5 linked regions of the Cricetulus griseus genome follow. The main gene of each other region encodes a partner of the protein of the gene in region 3 in a complex. Links are inferred from orthologs where the notes say so. Each region holds a gene or a part of one and is shown on either strand. Other genes may lie near its edges. The genes, in order: Ddx5, Hnrnph2, Arvcf, Pa2g4 and Srsf1.

What was found.
Region 1: Arvcf (region 3) and Ddx5 share a complex: the UniProt entries of both Homo sapiens proteins name them as parts of the ribonucleoprotein complex. The link is inferred for Cricetulus griseus from reciprocal best matches to the Homo sapiens genes ARVCF and DDX5.
Region 2: Arvcf (region 3) and Hnrnph2 share a complex: the UniProt entries of both Homo sapiens proteins name them as parts of the ribonucleoprotein complex. The link is inferred for Cricetulus griseus from reciprocal best matches to the Homo sapiens genes ARVCF and HNRNPH2.
Region 4: Arvcf (region 3) and Pa2g4 share a complex: the UniProt entries of both Homo sapiens proteins name them as parts of the ribonucleoprotein complex. The link is inferred for Cricetulus griseus from reciprocal best matches to the Homo sapiens genes ARVCF and PA2G4.
Region 5: Arvcf (region 3) and Srsf1 share a complex: the UniProt entries of both Homo sapiens proteins name them as parts of the ribonucleoprotein complex. The link is inferred for Cricetulus griseus from reciprocal best matches to the Homo sapiens genes ARVCF and SRSF1.

Annotation. Positions count from the first base shown.
Region 1 is NC_048600.1:119,728,863-119,733,522, reverse strand, and holds part of Ddx5 (probable ATP-dependent RNA helicase DDX5), read left to right. Parts: intron 1-336; coding exon 337-502; intron 503-1,110; coding exon 1,111-1,207; intron 1,208-1,296; coding exon 1,297-1,430; intron 1,431-1,525; coding exon 1,526-1,591; intron 1,592-2,040; coding exon 2,041-2,182; intron 2,183-2,266; coding exon 2,267-2,427; intron 2,428-2,513; coding exon 2,514-2,686; intron 2,687-3,081; coding exon 3,082-3,192; intron 3,193-3,439; coding exon 3,440-3,501; intron 3,502-3,587; coding exon 3,588-3,647; intron 3,648-3,751; coding exon of another isoform or gene 3,752-3,765; exon of another isoform or gene 3,766-4,660. UniProt on the Homo sapiens protein: Involved in the alternative regulation of pre-mRNA splicing; its RNA helicase activity is necessary for increasing tau exon 10 inclusion and occurs in a RBM4-dependent manner. Binds to the tau pre-mRNA in the stem-loop region downstream of exon 10.
Region 2 is NC_048604.1:45,489,277-45,495,225, reverse strand, and holds the end of Hnrnph2 (heterogeneous nuclear ribonucleoprotein H2), read left to right. Parts: intron 1-834; 5' UTR 835-926; intron 927-987; exon of another isoform or gene 988-1,088; intron 1,089-1,953; 5' UTR 1,954-2,006; coding exon 2,007-3,356; 3' UTR 3,357-4,147; downstream 4,148-5,949. UniProt on the Homo sapiens protein: This protein is a component of the heterogeneous nuclear ribonucleoprotein (hnRNP) complexes which provide the substrate for the processing events that pre-mRNAs undergo before becoming functional, translatable mRNAs in the cytoplasm. Binds poly(RG).
Region 3 is NC_048597.1:70,851,120-70,856,736, reverse strand, and holds part of Arvcf (armadillo repeat protein deleted in velo-cardio-facial syndrome), read left to right. Parts: intron 1-559; coding exon 560-718; intron 719-888; coding exon 889-1,415; intron 1,416-2,309; coding exon 2,310-2,809; intron 2,810-3,427; coding exon 3,428-3,611; intron 3,612-4,121; coding exon 4,122-4,239; intron 4,240-4,524; coding exon 4,525-4,696; intron 4,697-5,617. UniProt on the Homo sapiens protein: Contributes to the regulation of alternative splicing of pre-mRNAs.
Region 4 is NW_023276806.1:129,338,935-129,345,034, forward strand, and holds the start of Pa2g4 (proliferation-associated protein 2G4), read left to right. Parts: upstream 1-2,524; 5' UTR 2,525-2,676; coding exon 2,677-2,764; intron 2,765-4,830; coding exon 4,831-4,959; intron 4,960-5,192; coding exon 5,193-5,298; intron 5,299-5,389; coding exon 5,390-5,459; intron 5,460-5,638; coding exon 5,639-5,731; intron 5,732-6,100. UniProt on the Homo sapiens protein: May play a role in a ERBB3-regulated signal transduction pathway. Seems be involved in growth regulation. Acts a corepressor of the androgen receptor (AR) and is regulated by the ERBB3 ligand neuregulin-1/heregulin (HRG).
Region 5 is NC_048600.1:101,232,164-101,238,548, forward strand, and holds the start of Srsf1 (serine/arginine-rich splicing factor 1), read left to right. Parts: upstream 1-2,542; 5' UTR 2,543-3,011; coding exon 3,012-3,205; intron 3,206-3,657; coding exon 3,658-3,842; intron 3,843-4,251; coding exon 4,252-4,424; intron 4,425-4,624; coding exon 4,625-4,819; 3' UTR 4,820-6,385. UniProt on the Homo sapiens protein: Plays a role in preventing exon skipping, ensuring the accuracy of splicing and regulating alternative splicing.

The sequences.
Region 1 (4,660 bases), on a different chromosome or scaffold from region 3:
AAAATAACCTTGTTAAGCTCCTCCCTTCTTGCCCAGCTCCTAATTCCTAAGCCCTGTGGGGAGGGTATATGGAGCCTCAGGCTGTTATCTGTCCTTGTAATCTGAACTTCAGATGTTTGGGCAGCCGACCTGGTAAATCCAAGCTGCTTGTTTGGCATCAATAGTGTGTGCTTGGGACTATAGTAAAAATATATTGTGCCAGTTGTTGCTGTCTAGAATTGACAATTGGGAGGGATTCCAGAAATGCACTTTGGCTTTATATCAAAAGACATTAAATAAAATGTGAGTGCAAACATAACAGAACTTTTTTACAATGTGGCTTCCCCCCCCCTGTAGATTTGGTGCACCAAGATTCGGAGGGAGCAGAACAGGACCCCTCTCTGGAAAGAAGTTTGGAAATCCTGGGGAGAAACTAGTTAAAAAGAAGTGGAATCTGGATGAGCTGCCCAAATTTGAGAAGAATTTTTATCAGGAACACCCTGATTTGGCAAGACGCACCGCAGTGAGTGATTTAATGTGGCTTTTACTGGCTAACAGCTTCTACTCAATTGGATTGAAGCTGACAGGTGCCTTGCAAATGTCTCGAATTCAAATTATTATTTGTGGTGTGGTTTCCAAATGTGTCCATTGAATCTAGTGTAAAAATTATTTGAGCCAGGCGCTGGTGGAGCACGCCTTTAATCCCAGTAATCGGGAGATAGAGGCAGGCTCAAACAATACAGAGAAGCCCTGTCTCGAAGCACCAGAGGGTAAAAAAAAAAAAAATGTGTATTGGCCAGGTGTTATGGCACTAGTCTTTAATTCCCATCACTGGGGAGACAGGCAAGCCAATCAGCCTATTTGGGCTACATAGTGAGACTTTTTGGTTTTCGAGACAGGGTTTCTCTGTGTAGCTTTAGAGCCTATCTTGGCACTCGATCTAGAGACCAGACTGGCCTCAAACTCAGAGATCTGCCTGCCTCTGTCTCCCGAGTGCTAGGATTAAAGGTGTGCACCACTAAGGCCCTGCCCTAGGTGAGTGTTTTAAGTACATAAAAATTGCTGCTGAGCTGTAGGGGACTTGTCAGTGCAGTTGGCTGAGGTTTGAGACTGGGGTCATTTGTTTTTCAGCAAGAGGTAGATACATACAGAAGAAGCAAGGAAATTACAGTTCGGGGTCACAACTGTCCAAAGCCTGTTCTGAATTTTTATGAAGCAAACTTCCCTGGTAAGGACTAATTTTCATCTCAATTCTTTTCATTTGTTCCCTCTTCTTGCGTAGGGTTTTTGCTAAAAATGGTATTATTGGTTTTACAGCAAATGTCATGGATGTGATTGCAAGGCAGAATTTCACTGAACCCACTGCTATTCAAGCTCAGGGCTGGCCAGTTGCTCTAAGTGGATTGGATATGGTTGGAGTAGCTCAGACTGGATCTGGGAAAACATTATCTGTAAGTTTAGGGAAACTTGATACATTCTGGGAGTGGTGACCTGATAATCTTTCATTTTTAATAAAATTTCTGTTTTCACGCTTCCCCTCCAACAGTATTTGCTGCCTGCCATTGTCCACATAAATCATCAGCCATTCCTAGAGAGGGGTGATGGGCCTATTGTAAGTATTTCTTAACTTTTTTGGTCCTTAACACTAAAAATTTTTAGACTACATAATCCCACTCAGTTTGCCAGAACTGGTTTGACTTTAGTTCCTTTTTCAAGTTACTAATGTCCAAGAACAATAAGCAAGGACGGATTTCAATCCCTACAACCTACACGTAGAGAACCAATCAGAAGTTCTGCTTTCCACATGTTCTCCCACATGCAAAAAAGTCTCTCTATCCTGAGCATAGTGGTTCATGCTTAATAGTCAGTGATCACTACTATAATCTCAGGCAGAAACTAGAGGATCTGGGAGTTGGAGGCCAGCTTCAATGACAGAAAGCCTTGTCTTAAATAAATCCAATTCCCAGCATGCACCCCACCTCACCTCCAAAAAAAACACAGCACCATAGTATACTGTTGTGTACTAAAAGCTGGGGTTTTTTGCAATTTTTTTTTCCTTAGTGCTTGGTGCTGGCACCAACACGGGAACTGGCCCAGCAAGTGCAGCAAGTTGCTGCTGAATACTGTAGAGCCTGTCGCTTGAAGTCTACCTGCATCTATGGGGGTGCTCCCAAGGGACCACAGATTCGTGATTTGGAAAGAGGTACATGATCATAAAGGGGGCTCCTTGTTACTGGTGGAATGAAAGGTTTACATGTTATAGTTACATTTGCTCCTTTAATTAAAGGTGTGGAAATCTGTATTGCAACACCTGGAAGACTGATTGACTTTTTAGAGTGTGGGAAAACCAACCTGAGAAGAACAACTTACCTTGTCCTCGATGAAGCTGATAGAATGCTTGATATGGGATTTGAACCCCAAATACGGAAAATTGTGGATCAAATAAGAGTGTGTATCCTTATGTTCTTAGTAAAGATCAGTTCTAAGTTTACTCTTAGGGTTCCAGTCTTAATTTATTTCCCAAAATTTTTTAGCCTGATAGGCAAACCCTAATGTGGAGTGCAACTTGGCCAAAAGAAGTAAGACAGCTTGCTGAAGATTTCCTGAAAGACTATATTCATATCAATATTGGTGCACTAGAACTGAGTGCAAACCATAACATTCTTCAGATTGTGGATGTGTGTCATGATGTAGAAAAGGATGAAAAGTAAGTTTAAATCTTAGCAATTTGAGAAGATCTTGAATTGTACAAGAGTAATTAGTTTTGAAAGTTGTCTTAAAATGAAATTTAGTATGGTATAGGTTCTTTTTAAAATGTGTTTGTGGATATATATATAGCTTGGTGATAAACCACTTGCCTGCCTGGCTGGCTTAAGAAAAAAGCTATATGAGTTTGAGCCTGGCCACTTCACAAGCACACGAAGTGGTATGCCAGTCTTTATGAAAATCTGTGTTGTGCTTGCCTAGTATTTAACCTTACTTCCTGTAAGGAAAGGACAGCCACGTGTCATAAGCTTTTACAGAAGTGGTTTAGTGGGTGTGTTGTTTTGACTTCCGTTGATACGTTTCACTAAGCACATTTCTTTTTTCTTTTCTCTTTAGGCTTATTCGTCTAATGGAAGAGATCATGAGTGAGAAGGAGAATAAAACCATTGTTTTTGTTGAAACCAAAAGAAGATGTGATGAACTTACCAGAAAAATGAGGAGAGATGGGTATGTGGTTTCCTGCCTCATGGTACTTTGATCAAAAGAGAGTTTTGTGGGGATCATCTATTCTACAATATAAGTAGAATTATACAAATTGATTTCAATGACAGTGTAGTGGTAACAGCTCAGGGATATAATGCTCAGTGGGAGAGCACTTGACTAAGATGAAGTACTATAGGGTTAGATTAAATATTGGTAGATTTCTGCCTTTGGGTTTCAAATGTAAGAGAGCTAATATAACTTGTTAATACAGGTGGCCTGCCATGGGCATCCACGGTGACAAGAGTCAACAGGAACGTGACTGGGTTCTAAATGGTGTGTATTTCAAATAAGATGAAGTTTGTTTATAACCTGATAACATTTGCTTGGATTAATGATCATTTATGTGTATGTCTTTGTAGAATTCAAACACGGAAAAGCTCCTATTCTGATTGCTACCGATGTGGCCTCCAGAGGGCTAGGTTAGTACAAACTCGAATTCATGGCTTGGTTTCCCAGAAGATCTCCATGTAGTTTTTTTTAAAGAAAGTTTATTGCTTTCTTTAACCTCTGCATTTTTTCTAAGTTTTTTTCACATAAAGGTGCAGTCTTTGTGGCAAGGCCTAGGCATGACAATCGGAGGACTCGAGGGGGATGGAGGACTAGTGATCGGCTGGCTGCTTCCAGTCGATTAGAGAGGTGAAAAGCTGAAAGTGTGCCAGTAATCTTCAAAGGGCAGAACATACCACCTCTGCCCCATAAACTGTTCTCTCCGGGGGAAAAAAATGGAAGTTACCTCACAGTTCACTGCCGTGGTATTTCATCTGTCCCATGCTTTGCATGATTGCCATGGTACAGCATTGTTTCAAACTGTTCACTGTGATCTGTGGGTCTTTGAGTTTCAGTGAGTTTGCTGAAATGTCGAAGAAATATTTCCAAACTTCAATGTTCAATGAAATTTTTGTTCAAGTTTGAAATGGAGAGAGCAGCTTTAAAAGGTACTAAGCCTTTTACAAATTGGTGAGTACTGGCACATGAGACCTAGAGCAGCAGGGTCAACTTCTCACACATAGTCAGTGGGAAAAGAAAGTGCCTTGAAAAAGTTCCTCCCTCACCTACACAGTAGTCGTCATGTCGAGACCTGCCAGAGAGAGACACATTCTCAAGTGAATCCTGGCTTCTTGGAAGCGCTTGCCTAGACGAGACACAGTGCATTAAAACAACTTTTGGGGGACAGGTATGTTTTTCTTGCAGCTGCAGTTGTAAGGTCTTGGCAAGACAAGCAGTGTGGCCAGAATTTTGAACTTCTGATGAGTGTGATGCAAAGGACCTTGTACATTTTTCTTAAAGGTCCTCAAAAATGAGCACATGAAGAGGTTGCTGTGAAACTTTTAAGTGGCCCTACTGCGCAGAAGCACTCAGATGTCACTTGATGATCTGTAAGGGGACTTTGCCAATTTGGGAATGTGCTAAGGAGAATACACATTCCCTTGAT
Region 2 (5,949 bases), on a different chromosome or scaffold from region 3:
TTTCAGGGCTGCATTTGGTATTAGACAACTAATTAGTATGCTCTTCCCTGGGGAAGACAATTTCTCCACTATGAATATTCCTTAGTTGCCTGCATATTTACTCTTATTGTTTGTTTTGGGAATAGGTCTCACTATCCAGCCTTGGCTAGCCTGGAGCTTCCTGTGTAGATCAGGTTGGCCTTGAACTCACAGAAATCCACCTAGCAACTTTTTTTTTTGAGACAGGGTTTCTCTGTGGCTTTGGAGGTTGTCCTAGAACTAGCTCTTGTAGACCAGGCTGCTCTCGAACTCCCAGAGATCCGCCTAGCAACTTTTTTTTTTTTTGAGACAGGGTTTCTCTGTGGCTTTGGAGGTTGTCCTAGAACTAGCTCTTGTAGACCAGGCTGCTCTCGAACTCCCAGAGATCCGCCTGCCTCTCCCTCCAGCACCACTGCCTGGCTCACCTAGCAACTCTTAACACCCATAATCTTTTAGCCGGGAGTTGGTGGCACACGCCTTAAATTCCAGCTCTTAACACCCATAATCTTTTAGCCGGGAGTTGGTGGCACATGCCTTAAATTCCAGCTCTCCAGAGGCAGAGACAGGCAGATCTCTGAAAGTTCACGGCCAGCATGGTCTACAGAGAGAGTTCCAGGACAGCTAGGACTGTTCCACAAAGAAACCCTGTCTCAAAAAAAATACCCATAATGTTTTTGTCAAGTCCTGCTGCAGATTCCACTTTTTTATTTAGGCAGATCACATTTTTTTCCTTACCTCTACTGCTATTTTAGTGAATCTCTTGTCATATCTCTAAGAGGTCATTCTTTAATTTGCTCTTTTGCTCTTTTCATCCAGTCCCCCTTCCTTCTGTTTGAATGCTCCAGTTGCCTGGGTGATAAGTCTGAAAGGGCTGTAATGACATCACTCCTGTTTAAGATCCGTAAAAGGTGCTATATATATAGATATGTATGTATATATATATATATATATTCCCCTCTCCACACCCAGCATCAGAACGGTAAAGTCCCAATGTCTTAAGGTTTGGGGGAGGCACATGTCACACAGTGTTGTGAATACTGAATCATCATGCTTGTGAACCAGAGAAGAGTCTAGCCTCCTATTAAATCAGACCCTCAGGATCTCATCTCTTTTTGACAGCCCTGTCCTTTGCTTTTTGTCCCCTTCCATTTCGTGCTCCATTAAACATTTTTATAAACTGTTTCTGGATCCCTGAACAGGATCAGAATAGTTTGTGTCAATTAACCATTCTGCCTCCAATTGATAACACTTCATCAATCAGTCCTTCCTTTATTTTATCTGTTTGCACTTTCCTTTGGTAAAGGCATACAGTTCTCCTGTAGGACTGTAAGCCCTTTCTGGACTCATTGATTCTTACATGTCAGAATGAGTACTAGACCTGACATCTAAAGCATGCTTGCATATGTAAAGTCCCATTAATGTTTTCAATGTTTTTTTTCCCATTTATCTCTTAGGCATTAATAGTTCTGTATTTTACTGATTTGCATGCATTGTTTATATTCTTGGGATATTAATGGACTTGTATCTTATGAATTTTGTCTTTTGATTTAAAGAAATTTTTGATTTTTATATAATGAGATATAGTTATATTTTATTTATTTTTAATTTTAATTTTCTCTATGATGTTAATGCATTGGGCCAGTGCAGAAAATTTAAAATATTCAAAAAATGTCTTAATATTTTCCATGTATATGTTCATGGAAACAAGTCCTATTGTACTGCTACCCAGAAATAATCATTATTAATTATACCTGATACATAATAGAAATGGAATGAGTAATTGTTAAGTGAGTGAATTAAGTTTTATGCAGTCTTTTTGTTAATGTGGCTATCTTTTTAAAAAGTAACTGATGTGAACTTCTATAATAATAGTTTTCTTTGTTTCTCTTATTGTGTATAATTTTTCATGACAATAGTTTTCTAATTTTTTTAAAGCCACATTGAAATTGCGTTGAGCCAAGCTTGCCACCAAGAGCCCAACAGTCACCATGATGCTGAGCACAGAGGGCAGGGAGGGGTTCGTGGTGAAGGTCAGGGGCCTACCCTGGTCCTGCTCAGCTGAGGAAGTGATGCGCTTCTTCTCTGATTGCAAAATCCAAAATGGTACATCAGGTGTTCGTTTCATCTACACCAGAGAAGGCAGACCAAGTGGTGAAGCATTTGTCGAACTTGAATCTGAAGATGAAGTAAAATTGGCTTTAAAGAAAGACAGAGAAACCATGGGACACAGATATGTTGAAGTATTCAAGTCCAACAGTGTTGAAATGGATTGGGTGTTAAAGCATACAGGTCCAAATAGTCCTGATACTGCCAATGATGGTTTTGTACGGCTTAGAGGACTCCCATTTGGCTGTAGCAAGGAAGAAATTGTTCAGTTCTTTTCAGGGTTGGAAATTGTGCCAAATGGGATGACACTGCCAGTGGACTTTCAGGGGAGAAGCACAGGGGAGGCTTTCGTGCAGTTTGCTTCACAGGAGATAGCTGAAAAGGCCTTAAAGAAACACAAGGAAAGAATAGGGCACAGGTACATTGAAATCTTCAAGAGTAGCAGAGCTGAAGTCCGAACTCACTATGATCCCCCTCGAAAGCTTATGACTATGCAGCGCCCGGGTCCTTATGATAGGCCAGGGGCTGGAAGAGGGTATAATAGCATTGGTAGAGGAGCTGGATTTGAAAGAATGAGGCGGGGTGCCTATGGTGGAGGCTATGGAGGCTATGATGACTATGGAGGCTATAATGACGGGTATGGCTTTGGGTCTGATAGATTTGGGAGAGACCTAAACTACTGTTTCTCAGGAATGTCTGATCATAGATATGGAGATGGTGGGTCCAGTTTCCAGAGCACCACAGGGCACTGTGTACACATGAGGGGGTTACCATACAGAGCCACTGAGAATGATATTTACAATTTTTTCTCACCTCTTAATCCCATGAGAGTACACATTGAAATAGGACCCGATGGCAGAGTTACAGGTGAGGCAGATGTCGAGTTTGCTACTCATGAAGATGCTGTGGCAGCTATGGCAAAAGATAAAGCTAATATGCAGCATAGATATGTGGAGCTCTTCTTGAATTCTACTGCAGGGACAAGTGGAGGAGCTTACGATCATAGCTACGTAGAACTGTTTTTGAATTCTACAGCAGGGGCAAGCGGTGGTGCTTATGGCAGCCAGATGATGGGAGGGATGGGTTTATCTAACCAGTCTAGTTATGGAGGTCCTGCCAGCCAGCAGCTGAGTGGTGGTTATGGTGGTGGTTATGGTGGTCAGAGCAGTATGAGTGGATATGACCAAGTTCTTCAGGAAAACTCAAGTGACTATCAGTCAAACCTTGCTTAGGGAAAGAAGGAACACCAAACAGCTCCAGGAATAAAAGCTGTGCATTTATAGGAACTGGATAGAGTAGGAAGGATACCAAGCATATCCAGTATGATTGGTAAATGGGAAATAAAGTTGCTTCTGATCACTATCGGTCAGCTTTCTTTCTTTTTTTTTTCTCCTTTTTTTAAGAACAAAATTTAAGTTTAACAGTTTTGCATTACAAGCTTGTGATTCATGCTTACTGTAAAGTAAAAGTTAAGATTGTTTTCAAACTTTAAGCTCAGCAGTTTTGAACACTGAAATATTCATCTAGGATGTAATAACAAGTTCAGTATTGACCATAACTGTTAAATCCACTTTCAGCTTTCCTCAAGTTAGTTATGTTGTAGGAGTGTACTTAAGCAGTAAGCATATTTAGGTTTAAAGCAGTTTCACTTACGTTAAATGTTGCTCTTATACCACAATACATCAAAGCCTTCAGATGCATGTTGAGAAACATGCTTTTCTGTAAAAATCAAATATAGGAGCTGTGTCTATGATTCAAAGTGACAACATTTGGCATGTTTGTTAATTCTAGCTTTTTGGTTTAATATCCTGTAAGGCACGTGAGTGTACACTTTCACTTTTTTTTTTTTTAAAAAGATCTGGGATAATTTTGAGATGTAGTACCAATACTTTAGGAGTTTGGTCATGTTGTTTGTATGGAATTCTGAGGCTTTGATTTAAATCTTACCTTGTATTGTGAATTCCATTTAGATGTATTGTACTAAGTGAAACTTGTTAAATAAATCTTCCTTTTAAAAACTGGACAAATCTTGTATAGTTTGATTTTTCTTAAATCATGTTCTGTTACATGGGCACATGGTAACTAACTTTTTAAAAGTTCTCTGCAGTGGGAATGCAAATTTTCAGTTTCCTTTTTTTTGAGACAAGGTCTCTAATATTCCAGGCTGTGAATGACCTTTAAATTCTGCTCCTCCTGCCTCTACCTCCTAAGTATTGGAATTTCAGTCATGTGGCACTGTTTCCAGTTTATGCCTTGGTGGGGAGCAAACCCACACCTTCTTGCATGCAAGACAGCCACTATACCAACAGGGCGACATCCAAAGCCTAAATTTGGATTTATTTATTTATTTATTTGTTTTGTGTGTGTGTGTGTGTGTGTGTGTGTGTGTGTGTGTTCAAATGAATGTGTACACACATGTAAATGAGTGTTGGTAGAAGCCAGAGAAAAACATTGGGTACCCTGTTCTATTGCTCTCTGCCATATTGTCCTGATAACAGGTCTCTCACTGAGCCTGCAGCTAGGCTGGCAGTCAGTAAGTTCCAGTGATCCCCGTGTCTCTGCTGCCCACAGCACTGGGGTTACATGTGTATGAGTACGACTGGCTTTCTACATGGGTGCTGGGGATGTGAAGTGGGGTCTTCTGTGCTAGCCCAGCAAGCATTCTTACCCATGAAGCTGTCTCTAGCCCTGCAGTTTTATTTCTGATTTTTTCTTTTTTTTTCTTTTCCTTTTTGAAATGGGGTTTCTCTGTATAGCCTAGGCTGTCCTGAAACCCATGTTGTAGACCAGGCTGACCTTGAACTCAGAGGTCTGTCTACCTCTGCCTCCCAAGTGCTAGCATTGAAGGTATGCATCACCACCACTCAGTGATAAAAGCCATTAAATGCCCTTTTCTTTTCATGGTTTACAGAACATCTAAGGTTTGTGAGCCACTGTTTCTCTGATTCTGCATTAGCATCATTGGAACATTTAAAAATTGATTGCTGGACCCCATCCTGGGAAAGTTCTGAGATGGTGCCAAATATTGTGCTGAGAGGACTCAAGACCACCTTGTGAGACAGCTCACCATTCTCCCACTGCTAAAGTCTAATCCTAAAAGGAACTGTTAAGAAATAGCTTCGTTTTGATCACCAGTTCTCCCACCTCGTTTTTTTTTTCCTTTTTGTTTTTCGAGATGGTTTCTCTGTAGCTTTGGAGGTTGTCCTGGAACTCCCTCTGTAGACCAGGCTGGCCTCGAACTCACAGAGATCCACCTGCCTCTGCCTCCTGAGTGCTGGGATTAAAGGTGTGCATCACCAGCACCTGGCTTCTCCCCCTGTTCATTGCAACATTAACATAGTTAAAACATTTCTTTTGAATGCAAGCCACATGTCTATTTATCATAGCTTGCACCTCCCCATGAGTATTCTGTGCACCTGTGTCACTTTCATCTATGGGTATCTTTTTTTTTTTTTTTGGTTTTTCGAGACAGGGTTTCCCTGTGGCTTTGGAGGCTGTCCTGGAACTAGCTCTTGTAGACCAGGCTAGTCTCGAACTCACAGTGATCCGCCTGCCTCTGCCTCCCGAGTGCTGGGATTAAAGGCGTGCGCCACCACCGCCCAGTTGGGTATCTTAACATATGAGCATCATGGTGGTTAGCATTTCACCTCTCACTGACCTTCAGTCCTGGACACCCTCAGATCAGTAACAGTTATGTACAAACTACGTATTTCTGGATGTTTGACTCCCCAGAAACTGGATCTGTGAGTTGTCTGCTTTAGCATCTATAGAAATACCCTGTGTTGCGTGGCAGTGGTGGTGCATGCTTTTAATCCCAGCAGAGAC
Region 3 (5,617 bases):
GCTAGAAGGAGCAAGGATATCATAGCACTGTGGGTGCCTGCAGTACTCTAGAAGGTGGGCATCTTGGAACTGTGAGGACTTCTGGCTGATCTTGGCATGGGATTGTGTGAACTGTGCTGAAACTGTGACTCTAAGACTTGGTCATTTGGACCTTATAGTGTAGAATGAGGAGGAAGGCCAAATTGAGGAGGCAAGTGATGTCAGGAGAACATCTTGCAGGACATTCTGGGTCCCTCTTGGGGCCTAGAGAGGCCTGTGGTAGAGCCATACAGCTCGGGGAAGCCACCTTGCACCCAGGAGAATTGAGCCACCCTGGCTTTGTCAGGGTACTGTCCAGGTCTCAGCCACCAGGCCCATATACCACTTTCTTGTCCACCAAGTCACCAAGAAAGTCAAGATCACAAGGACAGTATGCCAGGTGCCTTTGGGTCCAGATGGACTCCCCCCTACACCTCATCCCTAGGTTGAAGAACTGATAACCCCTGGTGCATGGTCACCAAACATCTAGGCAGAATCTATTGTACATGGAGCTTGACCTCTGACACCCTTCTCCTTCCAGGAACAGAGCCCGGGTAGCCAGGCATCGCTCGCCACGATGCCAGAGGCACCTGAGGTGCTGGAGGAGACAGTGACGGTGGAGGAAGACCCTGGCACGCCCACCTCCCACGTGTCCATTGTCACATCAGAAGATGGCACAACCCGGCGCACTGAGACTAAGGTATGGCTGGGCCCAGGCAAGAAGAGGGCAGCTTGGACAACCATAGCCATCCCTCTGTGGGACAGGCATGTGAGCTGACCCCCTAAGGACCACTTGTTTGGATGGAGAACCCTGGCACTGTCCAGGTCTCTAGAGACACCAAGCCCAAATGCTACTTTCTCGTCCATCAGGTCACCAAGACGGTCAAGACTGTGACCACAAGGACAGTACGCCAGGTGCCTTTGGGCCCAGATGGACTCCCCTTGCTGGATGGTGGCCCCCCACTTGGTTCTTTTGCTGATGGGCCCCTAGACCGGCATTTCCTTCTGCGTGGTGGTGGCCCAGCAGCCACACTCTCCCGAGCCTACCTCAGCAGTGGAGGTGGCTTTCCTGATGGCCCTGAGCCCCGTGATATTCCAAGCTATGGCAGCCTGTCCCGAGGGCTTGGGGTACGGCCCCCACATACTGGCTTCCTGGGCCCAGGGCCTGGTGATGGCTGCTTTACACTGCCTGGCCGCCGAGAAGCCTTCCCCATGGGCTCTGAGCCTGGACCACCAAGTGGCCGCTCCCTGCCTGAGCACTTCCAAGCTGAGCCGTATGGCCTTGAGGATGATACACGGAGCCTGGCTGCCGATGATGAGGGTGGCCCTGACCTGGAGCCTGACTATGGCACAGCAGCTCGGAGGAGGCCTGAGTATGGGCGGGGCCTTCGTGCCAGGTGAGCACCTGTTGCTTATGACTGCCTCTTCTGTGAACTCTGTCTTCCACTCCCAGCTACAAAGTATCCCACAGGTCATCAGGCTACATTTCAATTTGAATTGGCTTCATCTCTTCTCAAGGATGGCAGCAAGAACGGGCCTGGGATGATAGGCATTGAGCTGGTGTCACTGCCTGAAGCTGCCTCTGTTCTAATAACCAGCTGGCCATGAAGACCCAGGCCTCAGATGCTCATGGTGTGACTCTGCTTAAGGCCTCTGATGTTTTCATCATGCACACTAGCTGAAACCCAAAGGCCCTGGTTCTTCTTGTCATGGCCCTTGATCCTGCCCTTTATGCCGTCCCCATTTATATCCGTAGCATGAAAACAGGACCACACAGCCTGAGTCTGGAGTTTGCCATGTGACTCTGGGCAAATTACCAGACTTTCCTAGTCTCAAACTCTTCCCTGGGAAATGGGCTTGAGAATTCATAGGGCACCTGAGAGCCAAAGACATGTCTCATCAGATGGTCTGATTGCAATGGCCACTTGCAGGGAGGGTATTCTACCTTCATGTGCTGGTATAGTCAGCAGATGTTACAGAAAGGAAGGAGGTAGGGTTCCTGCCCTGTCACTGACAGATGCCACATCTAACCACATTAAGCCATGGTTAAATAACACTGTTAACTGGTGTACGTCCTGACATGGGAGGGATGCAAGCCCATTAATGGCTTTGTTTGGCTATAACCTTGACCTTTCACTGATTGGGCTGTGGTGTCCATACTGTGTTTAGGACTGAGATACAGGATGCTGTCAGTTCCCCTTCTCAGGGAATTCCCAGACCCCTGAACAGGGTAACCGGGTAGGGCTGCTGGCTACTGTGAAGTTGTTGACAGGATTTGTTCACCCACACAGGGCCTTTGAGGACACAGCAGATGATGCCGGTGAGCTGATAGATGAGCGACCTCCATTCCCAGCAGCAACGGCTCCTCTGGCCCAGCCTGAGAGGGGCAGCCTAGGCAGCTTGGACCGAGTAGTGCGGCGCTCACCTTCAGTGGATAGCGCCCGAAAAGAGCCACGCTGGCGGGACCCCGAGCTGCCAGAGGTGCTGGCCATGCTGCGGCACCCTGTGGACCCCGTGAAAGCCAATGCAGCAGCCTACCTACAGCACCTCTGCTTTGAGAATGAGGGTGTCAAGCGGCGAGTGCGGCAGCTGCGTGGTCTGCCCCTGCTTGTGGCATTATTAGATCACCCTCGGGCTGAGGTGCGGCGCCGGGCCTGCGGGGCACTGCGCAACCTCTCCTATGGCCGTGATGCTGACAACAAGGCTGCCATCCGGGACTGCGGGGGTGTGCCAGCCCTGGTGCGCCTGCTGCGGGCTGCCCGTGACAATGAGGTCCGTGAGCTGGTCACTGGTGAGTGGGCCTTGGCCATGGCTGACAAGAGCATGGCTCAGCCCGTAAGTGGGGAAACAGTGTATCAGGCTCAGGTGCTAGGATGGGTCCCCAGCTCTCTCATCCATGGGGTTCCTGGCACCAGACCCTACCTCCCTAGTTCTTTACCTTCACGAGTGCAGGAGTAGGGCTTGCGCCTTGGAGAATTGGGGTGGGGGGTCCATAGGGCTATCTCTCTATGGCCCTGTGACCTCAGGAGCATTTGCCTGTCCACCCACTCATGTAGCAGGAATGGATGGGATAAACTGTCACTGGCTATGCCATTCTTAGAACTTGTCCCTTCCCTGTTAGCTGAAAGCCACTACTAGGTGCTGCCAGTACATCTTGCCAGGCTTTGTGGGACCCTAGAACCTCTTATAGCTTTCACCACTCCTAACTTCTTATGTGAGCTGGGTGCTTGCCTAACATGTACAAAGGCCCTAGGTGCCATCCCCGGGACAACCCAAAAAACCCAGGAACAACTGTGCTAGCTTCATGTGCCTGCTGGAGGACAAGGAGGGAAAGATCACAAGTGTCATCCCTGGGGAGGCCAAGGCAGGAGGGCCATGGTCAACAGTATTGACTAGTGGCACATTACAGGCACTCTCTGGAACCTGTCATCCTATGAGCCCCTGAAGATGGTCATCATTGACCACGGCTTACAGACGCTGACCCATGAGGTTATCGTACCCCACTCAGGCTGGGAGCGAGAACCCAATGAAGACTCGAAGCCCCGGGATGCTGAGTGGACAACGGTCTTCAAGAACACATCAGGCTGCCTGAGGTGTGGGCAGGGGTGGGGCATGGGCCAGATCTGCAGGGTGGCAGGAACTGCCATGCTCATAGCCCAGCTCACCCAGTCTTAGGAGCTTCTGTGCCACATCCTAAGTCCCTGGGATTTCCAGTGGTGCTGTCCTCACACCCACAGTTGGAATCCTAAGTCCCCGAGGTCCTGCTTGACCTTCAGTTTTGTACCATCCTGACCCTGCAGGGGGTCCTGATGTTGGGAAGTGCTGTTGAGAGGATGGGGCAGAATTATCTGCACATCATGGATTCTGGCCTCTTGGGGTCCATCTTTGTCCTATTCCAGTTCAGCCTGGGATCCAGGGAACCTGCTTCCTCCCCCACAGATCCAAGGCTAAAAGCCCATTAGGACAGTTGGGCCACCCTGTTCACCCTCACTGGGATCCAGCAGGACCCATTGTGCAGATGAAAGCCACTGAGGCCTAGTGGGCTGGGGTGTTCAGTAAGGCAAGAACAGGGATCACGGGTGGTCCTGCTCCCTTCCACCCAGGAATGTGAGCTCAGATGGTGCAGAGGCCCGGCGGCGACTCCGTGAGTGCGAAGGGCTGGTGGACGCGCTCCTACATGCCCTGCAGTCAGCTGTGGGCAGGAAGGACACAGACAATAAGGTGGGTGGGGCAGGTGGGAACTAGCTCACAGTTTTCCCTTCAAGTTCTCAAAACCCAATGGTCACAGGAACAGGACCCAAAACTGGGGAATTCCCTAGAATGGCACCGGTGGGAGCAGGTAGGAACTACCCAGAGCAGAGGACATAGTCTCTCTTGGCAGCTCCCCCCAGCTTAGGCCGACAGTGCCATTGGTGTTCACTGGCCATGGCTGCACACATAGCGTCTGGGAAGATCAGCACCCCCTTGTCCGGTGTTCCTGCCCAACCAGGCCACATCTTCCCACAGTCAGTGGAGAACTGCGTGTGCATCATGCGGAACCTGTCCTACCACGTGCACAAGGAGGTTCCGGGGGCTGACAGATACCAGGAGGCTGAGCCTGGGATCCAGGGCAGTGCTACAGCCTCCCAGCGTCGGAGAAAGGATGATGCCAGCTGCTTTGGTGGCAAGAAGGCCAAAGGTGGGTGGGTGAGACTGGGATACATCCCCTTCCCACTGCTCCCAGGGCTCGGCTTTCCAGCATCCATGGCAGATACTCCTGGAGGCTGGAAGTCATCTAGTCAGCCCCATGGGCATGCAGCAAGTTGGGAAAGGCGGAGACCCAAGGCCCAGTTTAATCCTTTTTTGTGGGCCATGGTGTGGTATCTACCTTTGTCCCTGTACTCTGGGGAAGGATTCCAGGGGCCCACAAATGACACTACCGGGCTATATACAGAGCAGCCTGTAACCACACCCCTTTACTTGGCCAGGCACCCTCAGCACCTGCAGGGTACAGATTTCAGGTACTGGTATCCTCCAGCAGTAGTAGTGGGACAGGTACACGGCCTTCACTTGCCCCTGACCATAGGTCTTCCCTGTACCCTGTGGGTACTGAGTCCCCAGAGTTCCTCAAGTGAGGTTGCACAGCCTGCTTGCTTGACCTGGCATGGGTGGGAGTATGAGTCCTGGGAGGGTACTGCTGCTGAGGCTCATCTCCTCTTTCCTGTGCTTCCTCCGGCCGCCCAGAGGAGTGGTTCCACCAAGGTGAGTCCCTGTTTGTTCTGCTGTCCAGGTCTGGCAAGTGCAGTGGGCAACAGAGTGTCATCCATGCTCCCTAAGCGCCCACAGTTATTTCCATGACAACTATAGGGCAGCTGGGATGCCTTCCAGCCTCCAAGCCCTGCCCCACCCCCAGTCCCCTGGAAGGGCAGCCATCTCCATGACAACAGCATAGACATGACAGAGGCTGGAATGCTAGCTCTGGACTGGTGGGGAGGCCCAGGGGCTGCTGCTTACAAAGTCAGAACAAGCTACCAAGCCAGCACTGGGACAGAGCAAACAGTGGGCAGGGCCCAGGGAGTGGCCAGTACTGGGGGACCATCTGTCCCTGATGAAGTGGGTG
Region 4 (6,100 bases), on a different chromosome or scaffold from region 3:
AAATAAGGGTATTTGAACACAAGTACTGTGATGTCACTGTTGGTCAGTCTAATAACAGGTGGGTCGTGAAGTGACTAAGGATATTTGGTATGGATGCCCTAGGCAAAGAGAGGATTCGTCTACCAGGTGGGACAGAAAAGGATGGTTGTAGTTTCATCATGCTATTCAGAATGGTGTGCAATTTAAACTTGAGGGACTATTTATTTCAGGAACTTGTCATTCAATATTTCAGATTGTAGTTGATCGTGGGTTATTAAAACTGTGGACAGCAAAACCTCAGATAGGGGACTGAGCCATGAAGAAATTAAGCAGCAGGTCTAGGATTCAAAATCTTCCCAATTCTAATGCCTGTACTTTTTACTATAAGGTATCAAGGAGTACCTGTGTCAAGCCCTTGTAAGGTGTGTGTGTGTGTGTGTGTGTGTGTGTGTGTGAGAGAGAGACAGAGACAGAGACAGAGACAGAGATAGAAACAGGGTCTCACTCTGCAGAGTGACCTGGAACTATGTAGCCCAGGAGGATGGCCTTGAACTCAACTCACAGCAATCCTGTCTCAGCCTCCCAAGTTGTGAACTGCCAGACTCCTTGTTTGTGCACAGAATCAAGCAAACGCCAAAGGGCCACATTTTCCTCCAGCACACAGGCTTCTCATCTCAGGAAGGAGTGAAGACAACACAGAAGGACAAATAACTGGACATTTTCATAGCCCACATATGTTGTGGATAATATACACTCCTTACAGTCAATTCACAAAGGTTCCAAGACTCATTTTAGGAATTATTCTTAACCAGTAATGAGAAACTTCTTGTGGGATAGAAAGAGGATCCATCTTCAGACCTCAGTCTTCCTGGATGGGAACTGAGGGAAAATGTCTTCTTGTACCATTAAAGTTTTTTTGTTTTGTTTTTATACATGTCTGAATAAAGATGCCAAGTTTCTTTTGGATTTTTATCAACTGAAGAGTGCATTGAGACCATCCCTTTTCTTTGCTTCTTAGCAATCAGTAGCTTCCTCTGCTCCTGACATTCCCAATTTTTTATTTAAATGTTTTTTTAATAATTCAACTTTATTGTGTTTGCATTGGTATGAAGGTGTCAGATCCTCTGAAACTGGAATTACAGATAGTGCGTGCTGTCAAGTGGTTGCTGGGAATTGATCCTGGGACCTTTGGAAGAGCAGCCAGTGCTCCTAACCTCTGAGCCATCTCTCCAGCTTTATTTAAATGTTAAGATCTTATTTATTTATTTATTTATTTATTTATTTATGGTTTATCGAGATAGGGTTTCTCTGTGTAGCTTTGGAGACCAGGCTGACCTCGAACTCACAGAGATCCGCCTGCCTCTGTCTCGTGAGTGCTGGGATTAAAGGCGTGTGCCACCAACGCTCGGTTTAAGAGTTTATTTTTAAACCTGGGTAGCCGGGCATTGGTGAACAAGAGCTAGTTCTAGGACAGTCTCCAAAGCCACAGGGAAACCGTCTCGAAAAACAAAAACGCAAAAAAGCATACAAACAAAAAAAATGGGTATATGAGGGAGTAGGGGCTGGCAATGGTGAGTGCAGTGCCCAAATTACAAGCTGCTTGGCATGGTGCTGCGAACTCCCTCCACAGGAATACCAGGTTATAAACGCTGAGCCTTTTCTCCAGACCCTGTTTCTACTCCTTTTTATTAACCCGTTTTACTGGGAATCGCTACAAAGTAGCAAGTGTAAACAAGAAAAGCCAAAGCGCTTGCTTGGGAAAAGAGAAAAACCCCAAATCTTGTTTGTTTTTTCCTACATAGGTTGAATACTGAAAGCCTGAAATAATTCAGAACTCATTCTCTTTGGAGTGACCAAATACCTCCTAAACATTTCCCTTAGATGCCCCCATCAAAACCTACCGCTGGAACAATAGTGCCATTTTACTCTAGTATAGTAGCAAGTCTGGCCTTATTAGCAGGCCACGGTAAATGAATAATCTTTCGGACTGTCTAGTTAAGTCTGTTCAGTTAGTCCCTCGCTCCCAGCACCGCCTCCGCTCGGCCCCTTCCTGTTCTCCCAGCAGAGGAGGACTGGACCAGCCAGGCCGGTCACGCTTGCCTACCCGGGAATCCGAAGCTGCCCGCCCTAGGTGTACCAACAGTGACCCTGGTCCTCTAGCTCCACCCTGCTCCACCCTGTTCCACCCTGTTCCGCGGCCTCTAAACCCTCTTCTCCGCTTAGCTCCGCCCCGCCTCGCTTAGCCCGCCCCCCTCTGTTACGAGTTCTGGCTCCGAGCTCCCGTGAATGAGGTTTTTCCCGTAGAGACCACGCTTTCCCTCAAGCTCCCCAACGGCTCCGCCTTCCCGCCGGAGCCAGACCCTTCCCAGCGTGCCCGGCGATTCCGGCGTGCGCAGACCTGGGAGGGCAAGGCCCCAGGGCCTGGCGGCGGGGCGCGAGGAGCAGGCTGGGAATTGTAGTTCCTGAGCACACGAGGGCGGCTGGAGGCTGGACGCCGGCCGGACTCATTGTCCCAGCGTGCCCTGCGCTTCAGCCCGCGCGCTCGCAGCTTCTCGCTCTCTGCGCCCGCCCTCCCGCTCCCTTGCTTGCTCGCGCTTTCCTCGCGGATCGAAGAGACTCTAGCTACAGCTTGTGGCTGGAAGGGAGACGGAGGCCGCAGCTCAGGGAAAGTGAAGCTGCAGTAGTGGTGGTAGGAAGATGTCGGGCGAAGACGAGCAGCAGGAGCAAACTATCGCCGAGGACCTGGTCGTGACCAAGTATAAGATGGGGGGCGACATCGCCAACCGTGAGTGCGGCCTCGGGGGTCTTGGAATCGAGGCTGAGAGGGAGAGGTTTGGGGCTGTCTCCCGAGGGGCTGGAGCGGCTGGGTCTTGCGGAGTGAGCCACCGAGGGGCGCGTGCCGACGACCAGGGGCGACGTGGTGGGGAGATCTGGTGTCGCCCCGGGGACTGAGCAGCCATGCCTGGGCTGGAGAGAGTGGAGGTGCGGGCCGGCGACCGCGAGGAGCGCAGAGAGGGGCCCAGACATGCTCCGACCCTAGGCGGTTGGTAAGGAGGCAAGGCGCGTCGTCTTCTGCCCGTCACCCTTCGGTCTGTCGGGATCTCTGCTTCCACTGACTGGCAGCTGTGAGGCTACCTCGGAAAGGGTGCTGCTCCCAGCTGTTGGCGACATAAGCGCCCCTCTGGCAGTCGCGGGTCCTGACCCGTAGGAGCCAGGCCGGCACGTGTTGCCAGGTCCCTGTGCGGATCGCTGGCTCCCCACTTCCTCTACTACCGTGCTTCCCCACCACGTGCTTCAGAAAAGTCTCAACTTCAGGTCCCCCTGGTGGGGGCCCCCTTCTCCCCTGGCCTAGCCCGAGGGACCGTTGAGGGGCACGTCTGCAGCTTCTAACACAACTCTTAAAGACAATCGGTTTTCTACACTAGGTTGATGACTGCTGCCCCAGCCTGTGAAATGGCCTTGAATATTTGTTTTTAGAGGCTTGACAGTGTTCTGAGGTCCTGCTTAGAACACAGCTAGGCAAGCCTGTCAATAATGCTGGGACGGGACGGAGAGGAACACTGATTTTTTTAGGGTTATTATAAGTATTTCTTGCTCTTTCTCAACAGTTGTCTGCCACTTGGGCTCTTTCCAGTTGTCTCTTCGTGTCAGTCCCGTCCCGTCCCATGCACCCCCTCCCGGGGGTGGGGGGGAATTTCTGTCCTACTCTTGTAGACCAGGCTGGCCTCAGATCCGTCTATCTCTTCTTCCCAAGTGCTGGAATTAAAGGCCTGTGCCACCAGACCACACCCGGCTCTCTTTTCCATTTTTTAAAAGCCTCTTAATAGAGATAGAAACTATTAGGACTTTAAAATGGTCTTGACAAAATTGAAGAAGGTATTTAGGATGCCTTTAGTTAAAACCGAGTTGTTTTTTTTTTTTTTTTTTTTTTTTGTATTCCAAAGAATAACCAAAACACTATTAAGCCTTGAATCCCCATGGATCATAGAGAGGACGGATACAAAATAATATCCCTATCTGGGGTAGTTTTAGTATTTGATATTATTGGTTTAAATCAGACAAAATTTCTATCCGTACTATTTGAAGCTTTAGGCAATTTGACTTTAGATAATAATTTTGAAACTGATCACGTTTCCTTGAGATCTCAAAGTAAACCTTGAGTCTCCTGAATCTTTGAGACCTTAGATTAATTCCCCTGGTCTTATATGCTTGTATATGGGGAAATGCATCTACATAAATTGTGATTACTAACACCTAATTAGAGTGTCTAGGGAAGGGAAGAAGGTAGCATTTAACAATGCTTCAACTTTGACTCAGCAATTCTATGTGTACCTTCCCTTGTCCCTGACGCCTATAAATTTCTTCTGCTCTGCTTGTGCATATGGGGTGTCTTGAGCACAGTTCCCTAACGTTCATGATTCTGTATGCCATAACATCTTTGGTAGGTGCAAGACTCTCGTCTATCCAGGTGTCAAATAATTTACAGAAGAGAAGTAAGCGCTGGCCTTTTTTATTTTAGGAAAGGAAGGTAGAAAGGAAGACTGGGCGTGATAGTGCCTGGTGCCAGCACTTGTCGGGGAGACACAGGCAGGCCATCTCTTGAGTTCCTGTCCAGCCTGGTGTACATAGTTCTAGGAAAGCCAGGGGTGTGTCTCAAAAAAGCAAAATAAACAACAACAAAAAAAGGTAGACATTAAAGTGGATAGATTGTACCAGGACACAAAATTTGTTTCCTTTCCACTTCCTGCCTTAAGACAATGACACTAGGGAGTATTAGAAAATGAATTCAACTTCACATCTAATTAGATGATGAATGCAAGCAGGACTGACCTGATGGGATTCTGTCTCCAGGGGTACTCCGATCTTTGGTGGAAGCCTCCAGCTCAGGTGTATCAGTGCTGAGCCTGTGTGAGAAAGGCGATGCCATGATAATGGAAGAGACAGGGAAAATCTTCAAGAAGGAAAAGGAAATGAAGAAAGGTAAACGGGAAAGAATACTCTTCTTAATTTCTCCCATTTGACCGTATCCATCTAGCCCCGCCCCCCCCCCATTGTAAAGTCCACGCCATCTCTGATTAACATATTTGGAAATCTGGAGTAGCAAATGGGATGGGTGTAGTTTCCTCTCCTGATCTACACTGAGTAAGTTTAAGGAAGGCAGCGGGTGCTGCCAAGGCAGAGCCAGGCAGTAAGGTTGATGGTTCTTTTTACAGGTGTTGCCTTCCCTACCAGCATTTCCGTAAATAACTGTGTGTGTCACTTCTCCCCTTTGAAGAGTGACCAGGACTATATACTCAAGGAAGGTGACTTGGTAAAAATGTAAGGTTAAGCCATTCTGGAGTATTTGTCATTTTCCTACACATTTAAGCAGGGTCGGTTCCTAATGAAGTGTTCTATCCTTGCCTTTCAGTGACCTTGGGGTCCATGTGGATGGCTTCATTGCTAATGTGGCTCACACTTTTGTAATTGGTGTGGCTCAGGTGGGTAGCATGCCTTTTCAGTGTTGGTAAGGGGATATGCTCCACTCTGTCGTACCACATAATCTTAAGAGTATCCAGAGAAGCAAAAAGAAACCACTTTCTGGTGTGTTGTGTGATTGGCTGGCCTCGAATATGAACATAGTGAGCTTTGCAGTGATACTAGTTATATTTCTCCACAGGGGACCCAGGTAACAGGCCGGAAAGCAGATGTCATTAAGGCAGCTCATCTTTGTGCCGAAGCTGCCTTACGACTGGTCAAACCCGGAAACCAGGTAAGGTGCTTCCTTCCTGTTGCAAAGATGAATCAGGCACCCTGAAAACAGCAAATAACTAAGTATCTACCACAGTACATGCAAGGTGTAGGGAATGTGACTTCTTACCGTGGAGCCTATAAAGGCCATTTTTAGATTTTGTATGTGCACTTTCACCCCAAAATAATTTGGGGTAGGTAATGAACAATGAAACACGTTTCTTAAAACTGTGCATGAAAAGGATAGAAAAAGTGCTGGCAAATTCGTGCCTAACAAACAAATTCTTTTGTTGTTTGGAGGGGGGAGCGTATCAGGAAGCCCAGATAGGATAGAGTTCTTGTGAACTAACATTAATTGTGTTAGATTGTTGGTGAACATTATTCAGAAAAC
Region 5 (6,385 bases), on a different chromosome or scaffold from region 3:
CTAGGATTAAAGGCATGCCTCACCACACTTTTGAATCAGTGTCTCCCGTAGATCAGCCCAGCCCTGAACTGTAAACATAGTAGAAGATGACATTGAACTCATCTTCCTGCTTCAACTTCCCCGGGGCCACCCATACATAGTTTAAAAATTTAACAAAAATTTCACTTTTCAAGCTGTTCATGCAGGTAGGAGGGCTAGCTTGGGAAGTTAAAGGGCAGCCTAAGTTATAGGAGTCCCTGACTCAAAAACAAACAAGAACCCCCACTTTCCCCAACATTTAACAAGCATCTTTGATCATTTCAAATTGGGTTTGTATTTCACTTAGACATTTACTAAACACATTTTTTTTTTTTTTTTGAGACAGGGTTTCTCTGTGGCTTTGGAGGCTGTCCTGGAATTCGCTCCATAGACCAGGCTGGCTTCAAACTCACAGAGATCCGCCTGCCTCTGCCTCCTGAGTGCTGGGACTAAAGGCATGTGCCACTAACCCCCCCCCTTGTTGTTTTTTGAAGCAGCATCTCATTATGTAACCCCCCCCAGATTCACCATGAGCTCATTGTCTTCTTCATTAACCTCCTGAGGGCTGGGATTACAGATATGGGCTACCATGCCTTGCTATAAAATTCATTTCAACTAGCTTTTATGACTAACAAAACCCTGCCCTTTCCTGAACTATTGATTTGTATTTCAAAGTCATTTAAAATTTTGAATATACTGTGTTCCTTGCAGTTGATCTCTCCAGGGATCCAACAGCCTCTCACTTCAGGCATTTATCACCTCAGCCCCTCCCCCACTCTCATTGACCTTCATTTCTTTAGCCTGTCTTAATATTTAATGCTTTCATTTTAAGCAGCCTTACATCCTTGGAATGTTCTAAGTCAATGAGAATGTAAAGGGGCAGCAGAATGGCTCATCCAGTAAAGGTGCTTTTCAAAACCCTGACAGTTTCATATCTTGGGCTCACACGGTTGGGGGTGGGGTGAACTGACTCTCATGGGTACGCCATGGCACCAGTCACCACTCCAATGCATAATATGCACAAAATAGAAATTTAAAGACTGCTGGGTGGTGGCGGCGGCGGCGGCACATGTCTTTAATCCCAGCACTCAGAAGGCCGAGGCAGGCAGATCTTTGTGAGTTCATGGCCAGCCTGGTCTACAGATCAAGTTCCAGGACAGCCAGAGCTACACAGAAAAACCCTGTCTTGAAAAACAAAACAAAAAGAAAGGAAATTAAAAACTAAAAGTAATAGTGCAGAAAACACCCTTAAAATCGGTGGGGGTCTGATTTAGCTCATTTATTTTGAGTCAGGGTCTCTGTAGCTCTGGCTGGCCTTGAACTAAAAGGTTCTGTTTACCACAATGATGGGATTTAAAGGCGTGCCACCACCTCTGGCTATTGTTTGTTTGTTTGAGGTAGGGTTTCTGGCTTTGAAGGCTGTCCTGGAACTAGCTCGTGTAGACCAGGCTGGTCTCGAACTCAGAGATCCGCCTGCCCCTGCCTCCCAAGTGCTGGGATTAAAGGCATGCGCTTGCCTCTTCTGGCTATTTTATGTTTACTTTGAATATGAAAGGCTCTGGTTTTAGCCTGAAGAGGGCGGTCGATGTCTTTAATCCCCCAGCACCCAGGAGGCAGAGGCAGGTGGATCTGAAATCCAGGCCAGCCTGGTCTAAGGAGTGAGATCCAAGACAGTCAGGGAAAGATAGAGAAATCCTGTGTGAAAAATACAAAAATAATAACTACAAAAGGCTTTGGCTTTATTTTTCCCAATTTTTTAATTTAAAGGGTTTCCCGGGGCCGGAGAGATGGCTCAGTGACTTAGGTTCAATTCCAAGCACTCATAACTGTCTGTAATTTCAGTTCCAGGGAACCCAGTACCCATGTCAAAATATCAATGCACAAAAAATAAATTTAAAAAAAAATCTAAAGGGTTTCCCTACATGGCCCCGGCTGATCTAGAACTGTGTATCACAGACTAGCATAGAATCCTCCTGCCTCAGTTTCCGGACTGACGAAATTGAGGCCACAAGTCACCAAGTTCAGCTTGGTTTTGCTTTTATTCCAGTTCGAATTCATTAACAAGACTGAAAACCTGCATGATTTCACACATAAGGCCCTAAATTCCATTCCCGTGATTACAAAGGAGTTAAAAGTCGTAGTATCCAATATAAATATCCTGATTTCAAACAATGTGAGATGCAACCGTTGTCTCTAGTAGTTACAGTCCTCGCATCTATTTTATTATTTTTTTTCTTTCCCCATCCTTTGAAAGGAGGAAGAGAAAAAACTGAAGGCGCGGTTGGTTCGCAGAGGTGTGGAGGGTTCCTAACTGCCTACAAAACGCAGCCCACCAAAAAAACGCAGGTTCGTAGAAGCACAGGACACAGCTCCGCCCACGCTCTTAAACCAATCACCTGCAACTCCGCCGGCTCCGAAGATGCCCAGGTTTCCGGAGCAACAGCTCAGCGTCATCTGGCTCCGCCCCCCGGCGCCTTTCCCGCCAAAGGCCGTTACCGCCGCGGAGCATGGTGGGACACGGTTGTGGGCTGTTGTCACCAAATCCTTTCAAAGCGCCGAGTGGCTTTTAAAAGAGGGTTCTCTCCTGAGGGGAGACATACTATCCTTGACTCAGCCGGGACCAACAACCCCCTTTCACCAGCGTACACCGTTTTCAACCACACGTCTGGCCGCCTCGCTGAACCAGGCGTTCCACCAGCAGCAGGACGCGAGGGACTTTTTCCCCTCCGTGCGGAGGGTGACGTAGCGCGTGCGCGAGCGTGCCTCTCAGCACCCGTTACGCTCGTGCGCGTGCGTACTGGGGACGGAATAGCCGCTTCCTCTGGCTTCCCTTCCTCCCCCTCCCCCCCATATCAGTGCGCCGGGCTGATAAAGGCGCCATTTTGGACGGGCCGCGGGAGACGTGGTGCCGCTGAGGGCTCGCTCTGCCGTACGCTAGGCTTGGTGGGAAGGCCTCTTCTCGAGTCCGCGCTTTTTTTTTTTCCCTCGCCGCCATGTCAGGAGGTGGTGTGATTCGGGGCCCGGCAGGCAACAACGACTGCCGCATCTACGTGGGTAACCTACCTCCAGACATCCGAACCAAGGACATTGAGGACGTGTTTTACAAATACGGCGCTATCCGCGACATCGACCTGAAGAACCGCCGCGGGGGACCGCCCTTCGCCTTCGTTGAGTTCGAGGACCCGCGGTGAGGCAGCGTGGGGCTTGCGGCCTTGAGGAGATAGGCTGGAGTAGTTGGGGGAAGGCTCTGTCTGAGGCCTGGACATAATGGGGGGGGGAGGGAAGGAGGGGCTCCGAGGCTGGGAGCGAGGCGCTATCGCCCCTGCAGGAGTCGAGTAAAGGAGCCGAGTCGGCGTGTTGTCTCCGGTGGCTGGCCGCCTCGGACGTCCCCAGAGCCCATGCGCGGCCCGGGAGCGGGAAACTGAGGCGCCGAGGGCTGGCGTGGTGGTCGGGAGTCCGCCCGGCGTGTTTGTGGGTGGGGGAGGGGCCGCTCCTATTATGCAGCGCATGTGGGCTCCGGCGCCGTGGGTGCGCATGTGCGCCGTCCGCGGCTTCCCGAGTGGCTTGCGTGAGCCCGGCCGGCCGGCCGGCCGGCCGCTGTCCCTGGCCTCATCCCCTTTGCTTTCTGTGATCACGCAGAGACGCGGAAGATGCGGTGTACGGTCGCGACGGCTACGATTACGACGGCTACCGTCTGCGGGTAGAGTTTCCTCGAAGCGGCCGCGGCACCGGCCGAGGCGGCGGCGGGGGTGGAGGCGGCGGAGCTCCGAGAGGCCGCTATGGCCCGCCATCCAGGCGCTCTGAAAACAGAGTGGTTGTCTCTGGTGAGTTGACTCCGTGTGGGGTTTTAAGAAAATCCTTTTCCCGCGAGACTGGTTTGACAACTCCCAAGTTTTGGTGTTTGGTCTTATTTTTTGTTTTGCTTTGCTTTGCTTTTTTTTTTTTTTTTTTCCTTTTTTTTCCTTTTAAACTGCTTCGGTCTTGGGGGTGAATTTAGTAAACGAAGATTACTGTGGCGGTGATTTACCCAAATTAGGTTGCAGTGCTAGCCTATGAAGATCCTTTACAAATAAGTTTGGACTGTGGATCTCAGACTCTTACCAGCTCTTTACCTGGAAACACTTAAGTACAATCATTCAGTATTTTAAAATAATCCTTGTTCTGATGTACGTTGCACCAGTTTGATGTGGAACTGGGTGATTAGCATTAAGTAGGGGGAAATCACTTTTTCAGGACTGCCTCCGAGTGGAAGCTGGCAGGATTTAAAGGATCACATGCGTGAAGCAGGTGATGTATGTTATGCTGATGTTTACCGAGATGGCACTGGTGTCGTGGAGTTTGTACGGAAAGAAGATATGACGTATGCAGTTCGAAAACTGGATAACACTAAGTTTAGATCTCATGAGGTAGGTTATACATTTATTCTTTTATTTGGCCAGAATTGGATACAGTGTTCTTAACAGTGGAATTTGAAGGTAAGGATACAGGCAAAGGTGTCCAAGTAAATTACCAGAGACCTGGTCTGTCTGTCTTTGTATTCATTCAGCATGTCTGAAGACAGGTGAAAGCTTAGATCTTTCAATGGAAAGTTCTGTCTATCCAATAGGGAGAAACTGCCTACATCCGGGTTAAAGTTGATGGGCCCAGAAGTCCAAGTTATGGAAGATCTCGATCTCGAAGCCGTAGTCGTAGCAGAAGCCGTAGCAGAAGCAACAGCAGGAGTCGCAGTTACTCCCCAAGGAGAAGCAGAGGATCACCACGCTATTCTCCCCGTCATAGCAGATCTCGCTCTCGTACATAAGATGATTGGTGACACTTTTTGTAGAACCCATGTTGTATACAGTTTTCCTTTACTCAGTACAATCTTTTCATTTTTTTTAATTCAAGCTGTTTTGTTCAGAATGGGCTAAAGTGTTGAATTGCATTCTTGTGTAATATCCCCTTGCTCCTAACATCTACATTCCCCTCATGTCTTTGGTAAATTGTATTTTAAGTGATGTCATAGACAGGATTGTTTAAATTTAGTTAATTTCCATGCTCTTCAGACTGTGATATTGTGTAAATGTCTATTCTGCTCTGGTTTGTGTGAAATGGGATGTTGGGGGTGTTTGTGGTTATCTTACTTGGGGAAGTTCTTATGTTTATCTTGCTTTTCATGTGTCTTTCTGTAGACATATCTGAAGAGATGGATTAAGAATGCTTTGGATTAAGGATTGTGGAGCACATTTCAATCATTTTAGGATTGTCAAAAGGAGGATTGAGGAGGATCAGATCAATAATGGAGGCAATGGTATGACTCCAAGTGCTATTGTCACAGATGAAATTGGCAGTATTGACCTTATACTAAAAGACAAGGGTTAAAATTTTTATCTACCTTAAGACACTTGCAAACATCTTATGCAGTTATCTTTAGCTACAATTGCTTTCTAAACCTTGGCAATTGTGGCAGAATTGCCCATTTTGTAACAATTATTTGCTCCCTTCTCCCCCCCTTTTTGTTTTAATAGGGACTAATGTGGGAAGAATGGCTAATTTGTCACAGTGCTTAGTTACAACTGTTAATGTGTGGCCTGCTGTTGGTGTACATGTGGGTACAGGGTGTCTATTTCCAAACAGAGTATAATATCAATACTGCTAAATCTGCATGTCCTCTGTGTGACTGATAGAGCGTTGTTATTTCATTTTTTTTTAAAGACAAAATGACAGCAAAATAGAATTCCAATGTATTAGTGTAGATAATCTAGTTGGGAGTGCTTTAAGTCTCACCTTCCCTTTTAATATTCATAATTGACTCATGTTTAATACACTTTAATTTACAAGCTAAATTGCAGATGGGAGCAATAGATTTAGTTTAGACTTAGGTGGGTAGCAATACCAGTAAACTTCAATTACATAACTTTGCAACCACAAAACCTGTGATACCTGTACAGTAACAAGTGTTGGCATTATCAGTTGAACTGTAAATATAAATTGCTTCTTCCTGTTAGTCTCTATAATGATTAAGTTTCTAAAGTTTATCTAAACACCATACAGAAACTTGTTTTGGGGAATTTGATAGTTATTGATGTACATCTGTTAAACTGATGACAGACATAACTCATCATTCCCCAGAAACCTTTTTTGATTACAGTATCTAACATTTTGCCTCCTCTTTTTTGGTTTTGCTGGTTATAAAGGTTTGGATTGGAGAGGGCTCACTGGATCCCAATCCTTGGAGCTGGATCATTGGATTCAAATCATAATGTGGATAGGATAGGGAGGATGAATTACCAGGATTCATGGAGCGGGATCAGATTACCAGGAACATAGGAGTGGATTCCTTCCTGCCCCAACCAAACCGCATTCGTGTGGATTTTTTTTTTTCATT